Macaca fascicularis: one gene and its partner. The protein of the gene in region 1 purifies or fractionates together with the protein of each later gene. This does not show direct contact. Links are inferred from orthologs where the notes say so. Each region holds a gene or a part of one and is shown on either strand. Other genes may lie near its edges.

Region 1 (3,647 bases):
CCCCGTCTCTACTAAAAATTACAAAAAATTAGCCGGGCGCGGTTGTGGGCGCCTGTAGTCCCAGCTACTCGGGAGGCTGAGGCAGGAGAATGGCGTGAACCCGGGAGGCGGAGCTTGCAGTGAGCTGAGATCGCGCCACTGCACTCCAGCCTGGGCTGGGCGACAGAGCGAGACTCCGTCTCAAAAAAAAAAAAAAAAAAAAAAAAGATGATTCAGAATTCAATGTGGACCCCTCCTGGAGGGTGGGGAGAAGTGGCTAAGTGTTATAAGGTACACTGGACAACACAGGGGTGTTTCAAAGAGGACAACAGGGCACTGTCACAATCAGTCCAACTGTAATTCTTTCCTTTCTTGTGATTATGTAAATTTTAAAGAAAAGAGGTTTCTCACAAGCTATATACAGCAGCTTAAACCTCAGTGTTTCTTTTTCACGTGATATACAATTAAAATTAATTTATGACAAATACTTGTCACAGAAATGTATGTAGGCACATAGAAACTCTACAGCTTTACTGGAGCGGCGAGGTCTTCAGTGGGATCATGATTCTGGATTCCATTTCCTGAATAAGTGGAACTGAAAATAGGATCAGGGTTACTGCACTTGTTCTTTTCTAAACACATTATGGTAAATGACACTAACAGACAGATTGTGCTGCTTGAAAACAAGAGAATGTCATAATATACAGGATTAGGCCGGGCGCGGTGGCTCAAGCCTGTAATCCCAGCACTTTGGGAGGCCGAGACGGGCGGATCATGAGGTCAGGAGATCGAGACCATCCTGGCTAACAAGGTGAAACGCCATCTCTACTAAAAATACAAAAAATTAGCCGGGTGCGGTGGCAGGTGCCTGTAGTCCCAGCTACTCGGGAGGCTGAGGCAGGAGAATGGCGTGAACCCGGGAGCTGGAGCTTGCAGTGAGCTGAGATTGCGCCACTGCACTCCAGCCTGGGCCACAGAGCCAGACTCGGTCTCAAAAAAAAAAAAAAAAAAAAAAAACATAATATACAGGATTAACCTCAAGGGCAGAAATATAGAAGTGGGCCCTGTATCAGCTGGCATCCTACAAGATGCTATTAAAATTACAACACATCAGCTGGGTGCGATGGTTCACACCTGTAATCCTAGCACTTTGGGAGGCCAAGGCAGGTGGACCACAAGGTCAGGAAATCTAGACCATCCTGGCCAACAGGGTGAAACCCCGTCTCTACTAAAAATACAAAACTTAGCTGGGTGTGGTGGCGCCTGCCTGTAATCCCAGCTATTCAGGAGGCTGAGGCAGGAGAAATCGCTTGAACCCAGGAGGCAGAGGTTGCAGTGAGCCGAGATCGCGTCACTGCACTCCAGCCTGGTGACAGAACAAGACTCCGTCTCAAAAAAAAAAAAAAAAAAAAAGGAAGAAAAAATTACAACAGATGCTACCTGGAGATTTGTTTTATTTGTAGGAGGTGGGGAAAGTCTGTATTGTCTTATTGTGAGAAAAATGGTGATTTCTCAAACGTTCTTTGAGTAAGCAGCAAAATCAAATCAAATTATATAATTATAACATGCAATTATATGTTATATAATCTCTTGAACTAAAAGACAAGGTAACATCTACTTTCTAGGACAAATTACTCTTTTATTTTCTTGGTAGTATATGGGCTGAGATATACTTTTTTTTTTTTTTTTTTTTTGAGACGGAGTCTTGCTTTGTCATCCAGGCTGGAGTGCAGTGGCACAATCTCCACTTCCCAGGTTCAAGCGATTCTCCTGCCTCAGCCTCTCAAATTGAGACAGGTTTCATCATGTTGGTCAGGCTGGTCTCGAACTCCCGACCTCAGGTGATCTGCCCGCCTCGGCCTCCCAAAGTGCTAGGAATACAGGCGTGAGCCACTGCGCCTGGCCAGAAATATACTTGCCATGCAACATGGCTGGTACTGATTACCTCTACCAATGCACTGGGTTATATTCAGCCAACTGTTTTCTTATAAAAATCAAGCAAACAGGGTTTAATAATATACTTATGTATGTGCACATGCATGTATTATGTACCCATGTATACATACTGTACATACAGGAAGTTTAATTTATCTAATTTCAAAATCACTCTTTAATTGATATATTAAGTTCTGATTTGGGATACTAACAATTTTGATGGAAAAGGAAAGCTTAGAAAAAATTTTATTTGTGTAATAAGTTTTCAGACAATATAGAAATCTACAAAGAAAGGTAATGATGTACAATTTACAACATCCAAGGGTCTGAAAACTGTAACAGATGATAAACATATTTGAAAGAATGGATATTCTGCTTTATTGAAAAACGTCACGTAAGTATTAGAGAAAAATTGACTATCTCCCTTCCCCTCCCAACCTGATGACTCACTATCCTAGTAACACACTATTATAAAAGCCACCTATTAGTGTCAGGGTGAAAGAACATGATTGAAACAGTAAGACAAAAAGCGTTATTTCATGGCTATTAAGAGATTACCTGTGTAATATACCAATTCCTCCCAGCCATGTTTGTGCCATGCTGCATTCCGTATGTCTTCCCTGGTCTGAAGATCCCTGTAAGCTTAAAAATAACCCCACAGAGAAGTAAGACTTAAAACATATACCCTGCATTCCACCCATACATATGTTAAGGTCTTGCTTCACCTGGGCATCTAGTTTTCTCAGGGACTACTTCAGGTGTGTAATATACTGGGCTGGGGAAACACTGAGCAAAATTATATTAGGCCATGTGGGAAAAGCAAACTTTCAGTCTTTTTTTTTTTTTTTTTTTTTTTGAGACAGGGTCATTCTGTCAGCCAGGCTGGAGCGCAGTAGCATGATGATGGTTCACCATGGCCTTGACCTCCTACGCTCAAGTGATCCTCCTACCTCAGCCCACTGAATAGCTGGGACTACAGGAAAGTGCTACCACATTGGCTAATTTTTGTATTTTTTTGTGACCAGGCAGACATCAAACTCCTGGGCTCAAATCATCAAACCGCCTCAATCTCCCAAAGTGCTAGAATTACAGGGGTGAACCACCACACCTGGCCCATTCTTAAGTTAAAAAAAATTATTTGCTTGTTTGAGATGGGGTCTCACTATGTTGCCCAGGCTGGTCTCAAACACCTGGACTCTAGCGATCCTCCCGACTCAGCCTCCAAAACTGCTGGGATTTGAGGCGTGAGCCACCACATCCGGCCACAATTCCCTCTTAAGCTTTAAAATCTAGTGAATCTACGATATACCTTTATAAACCAAGTGAACTTCTCCAATAACATGTTAAATTCATGACCAGAAACTGTGAGACCACAGATAAGCAATGTCAGATCAACTTTACTCAACATTTATCTCGCACTACACTGATCTGGGTAGCGGGTGTGTTCCATGTGAAGCCCCAGGATATGAGACAGGCAAGATCAGCCGTGGAGAGTGCTGTGGCCCATGCAAGGACACAGTGTACAGGGGAGCAGGGCAGGCAATGGGAGAGCTGTGGGAAAGGTGCAAGTTGACCAGGTGGGTGTTGAAGTTGAAAAGGACATCACTGATGTAGGAATGGGAAGAAAGGCGCTTCAGGTGGAGGGGGATCACCTGTGTCGTGGTACAATTCACAGGTATCTCATCCAGATGCCTTCTTTCTTTTTTACTTTCCTTTTATTTTTTTTGAGACGG
Region 2 (4,261 bases), on another chromosome or scaffold:
AGGCTGAGACATGAGAATCACTTGAACCCAGGAGGCGGAGGTTGCAGAGAGCCAAGTTCGCACCATTGTACTCCAGGCTGGGTGACACAGTGAGACTCGGTCTCAAAAAAATAAATAAATAAAAATAAAAAAAAAAACCCCACCATCTATTAAGGTATTTGCCTCTAAATTCATCTCCTGTGAAATTATTTTACTACTTACATAATTAGGAATTTAGATCTAGGATAAGAGTGGGAATTAAGACAACATTTTGGTCAAGAAGTGATTTTCATTTGATATTCACATTCAGAATTATAGCACTTGTAGAGAAAGTATGCTTTAAAATTTCAAGAATTACAAGTCTCCTTCAAGAGAATTTTTTTTTGTTTTTTTTGAGAGATATGGTCTTACTCTGTCTCCCAGGTGTGATCTTGGCTCACTACAACTTCCACCTCCCAGGTTCAAGCGATTCTCCCACCTCAGCTTCCTGAGTAGCTGGGATTACAGGCGCGCACCAACACGCCTGGCCAATTTTGGTATTTTTTGGTAGAGATGGGGTTTCACCATGTGGGCCAGGCTGGTCTCGATCTCCTGACCTCAAGTGATCGGTCTACCTTAGCCTCCCAATATACTGGGATTATAGGCATGAGCCACCCGCCTGGCCCCATTTCAAGAGAATTTTATCATCCACCAGCAAACGTCATAATCTCATTAAATGTTTGGCAAAGCCTTGCACAAACTTTTAGTGTGAAGGATCTATTGAGTCTAAATAGTAATATAAGGGTGCAGGTCATTTTAAATTCACTTTCTAGACTTTTTTCAAAATTTATAAACTGCTATTAATGGACCAGTAACTACAATGAGTGACACTTTCTTACTGGTGAAAACACAATGCAAAATATATATTTATGTGTCTATATATTTCTATACAGAAAAACAGAAAAATTAGGTTGGTAGCTTTTTATTACACATACAAGATGTAAAAATTACTTTTAAAAATTCTCAGACATATACAACCGTATTTCTTCCAGGCTGTAGTTAATAATATTTACTGAGTGCTTACTCCATGAAAAACTGCCTGGTATCTAAAATAACTCCTTTCCATCGCACAAGGTGGTATTATTCCCCATTTTACAAATGAGAAAACACACACAGAAATTAATTGCCCAAGGTCACCAGAGGGTAAAAGGCAGAGCTAGGTCCAAACCCAGAAGTCAGACTCCAAACGACAGGCGCCCGCCACCTCGCCCAGCTAATTTTTTGTATTTTTAGTAGAGACGGGGTTTCACCGTGTTGGCCAGGATGGTCTGGATCTCCTGACCTGATGATTTGCCCGCCTCAGCCTCCCAGGGATTACAGGCGTGAGCCACCGCACCCGGCCCAAACAATGGGTTTAATTGCTCTGTCATGCTACTTCTCATGCAAAGGAAATCTATCATCTCAATCATTCATTTTGCAGATGAGGAAAATAAAGCCTACATTTAGTTTAAGGCATTTGTCCAAAGTCACACAGCTAGTTAGTGACTAGAATCACGTGCCCTGGCTACCACTTCCAAGTGACATCAGCTGCCAATCCATAAGAAATACCTTCAAACCAATACAGGGGTAAGATAAAAATTATACATGTGACTTTTCAAAAGTGTTGTGAAAATAGGGGAAAAAACCACCAAACCTGTAAGGAAATATAACCGAAGGCTAACTGTAGGTAAGCATATGAGTAGTAAGACAATGGGTGATCTTTTTTTTTCATCCCTTTCCTCAATCCTTTCAGCATTTCAAAGTTCTATAATGTGCTTATGTTATAATTGGCACATATATGCGACAGTTTTGTGGAGACTAAAAACAGCAGTTGAAAAAAGGAGGCAGAAAAATAATCCCCTTACAGTAAAGAGATTTCAGCTACGTGGCTAAAAAAAGCATACTACTTCAGAGGTTCCGGAGGAGGAGAGGTAATTCATATTACAAATTAAATTAAAAGTTAAAATTTCTAATTAAGTAAATTATTAAACACAACATGCAATAAAATGTCGTTCACATTTGACTTTACAGATTTGGGATGGAAGGAAAATGCAAGGTTTCCTACAACCACCTACTTTAGCCCTTTCACTGCCAGTTTGAAAAGGAAAAACACTAGCTAACAGAGGTTGACTGGGAATCATCAGATTAGAAATCGTTCTCAAAACCATCTAACATTTTATTCCTTAAGGTAGAGGTATTAGTGTATTTTTAAAGTGTGTCTTCCAGTAAGTTGCAGAACTTCCCGTTGAAATTCAAAATACTATACGTTCACACTGGCATTACTGAAACTGCAGGAGTCGAGCTCCCTACTTGAATGGGGTAGCAAGCACAAAAATGGTTTTGAGGGAACCGAGCAGGGAGGGGCAGTGATCTGCAAGGCTGATTAATCCCATCCAAGGTTTTAAGATAGCTCTTGTCGCGGCGCAAGGTGCTGTGGAGCCACAAAGATGCGACAGAATGGATCCCGATTCTTCTGGAACTCCGGATCAAGAAAATATGAGGGGCGTGAGCCCAGAAGTGCGACGCAGGAGACCCGCGGAAAGGTGACAGAACTAGTGGCACCATACTCAGAAAGTTTGGGAGTTAGGGAGCCTGAAATCGCAGCAGGAGTCGTGAGAGGGTAAGTGACAGTCCCTTCACAAGGTCACAGGAAACGGGGTCCCAGGGCAGTATTCCCCACAGAGGGCTGGGTCTCTGGGCTGGGGCAGGCGACAGCGAAAGGGAGACGCGGCTCCGGGGCCAACCCAGTCCCCGCAGGAGTTCTGCCCGGAGGTCTGGGATGCCCTCGGCCAGGCCTCACCTCGGGAGCGGAGGATCCTGAAGGCAGAGAAGCGGCTGAGGATGCCAATTGCCCGGCAGGCCACCATGTTGAGTTGAAGAGGACAGCAGTAAGAGCGCTTCTAACGGGTGCGGCCAACCGGAGGACTTTTCCTCCCGTAGCCTGGCGACCAGGCGCCTGGCGCACTGCCTGACTAAAACCCAGACGCCGAGTGGCCTCCGGCCCCTTAGCTCTGCACCTCGCTCCTCGCTAACGGGGCCGAAAGGTCCCTTTCTTCGGTGAAGGACTGGGGCCCGGAGAGGAGGGGCGGAGTGCCAGGTTTTCCAGTCAGGCGGCCGGAGGGCAGCCCGCAAGAAAGGCCGTGCCCGCCCGCGGGGTGAGGGGTCCTTTCGGGGCAGGACCCGCCCCTTGGTCCGGCAGAGCTTTGGCACTAGGGCCTGGACCTTTCTCTGAGTAGGAGTTCGAGCGGACGTCAGCCAAGGTGAGACAGCGAGCCCTCAGCTCTCTGCCCGGGCTTTCCCAAAGGCGAGATCCCACTTCCTTCCCTGCAAGTGTCGCCGGTGTCCCCGGCCCCGTCCCCTCCCTGGGAGAGTCGGAGTTGAGGGAGCGGAAGGAAAATCCTCCTCGGACAAGGTCGGCAGTGTTAGCTGCAGTTAGGACAGTGACTTGGACTAGCGTTCCAACTGAAGCTCGGGACAGTGGTGTCACCTGCGCCCTAATTTATCATCGCAAGTTAGCGAAGTCTGGGTGTGTAGGGGTGTGTGTGGATGTGTGTGGGCGTCGGCCTTAACGTAACCCTGGTCTGCCTAGGAGTGTGTGTTGTTTCGCCTGCTTCCCCTGTACCCATGTCGGCGGCTATAGAGATTGTGGACCGCACCATGGGTTTGCCCGGTTTCTGCTATAAAGGATAAGACTAGGTCAGGTGACCTTTCGGTGCTTGAGTGTGGGAGGAACGGAGACAATCCTCCATCCCGCTCGGTTATCCAGGTAATCTTGTGCTCTCGGGGGTTTTCCGATGGATGACTATCTATCTGGTCGTTCACACCTCAACTCACTTCAGCGGTGAAGAAACTGCCTGCGAATCAGAGGGAGTGGTTATACCCATGGCCACATGTGGTAGAAATAAGACTGGAGCCTAAGTCTACTAAGCCCTAGTGAAGAGTTCTTCACTGCATGGTAGCTGTTTTTGTGCTGGAAAGAGGGGCTGGAGTCCTGCAATAAAGTGATTGGTTTCAAAAGGAAGTCACATTGAGAGCCTGGTGTGCTCTGGTCACCTTCATACCTTTTTGTTTAATCCTCACATTCCCCGAATTATTATCATTTGCATTTTCTAGATGAAGTTTGGGAAGCTCAGATTATATACATTTTCTAGTCTATGACAGAGCTAGCATTCAGACATAAGTCTGAGTCTCACTGCTCACCAGACTGACAGCTCTGCAAGACTGGAAACAAGGGGCATCGAAGGTAAGACTGAAATGAGGAGTA

Evidence for each region. Proteins that work in one complex are often made in the same cells at the same time.
Region 2: the proteins of NIPSNAP2 (region 1) and HADHA purify together in Homo sapiens (affinity purification with mass spectrometry; 3 studies listed by BioGRID and IntAct, with this or other methods). This does not show direct contact. The link is inferred for Macaca fascicularis from reciprocal best matches to the Homo sapiens genes NIPSNAP2 and HADHA.

Annotation. Positions count from the first base shown.
Region 1 is NC_088377.1:74,087,980-74,091,626, reverse strand, and holds part of NIPSNAP2 (protein NipSnap homolog 2), read right to left. Parts: intron 2,557-3,647; coding exon 2,473-2,556; intron 575-2,472; coding exon 510-574; 3' UTR 1-509. UniProt on the Homo sapiens protein: Protein involved in mitophagy by facilitating recruitment of the autophagy machinery required for clearance of damaged mitochondria.
Region 2 is NC_088387.1:95,997,096-96,001,356, reverse strand, and holds the start of HADHA (trifunctional enzyme subunit alpha, mitochondrial), read right to left. Parts: upstream 2,900-4,261; 5' UTR 2,865-2,899; coding exon 2,798-2,864; intron 2,618-2,797; exon of another isoform or gene 2,426-2,617; intron 1-2,425. UniProt on the Homo sapiens protein: Mitochondrial trifunctional enzyme catalyzes the last three of the four reactions of the mitochondrial beta-oxidation pathway.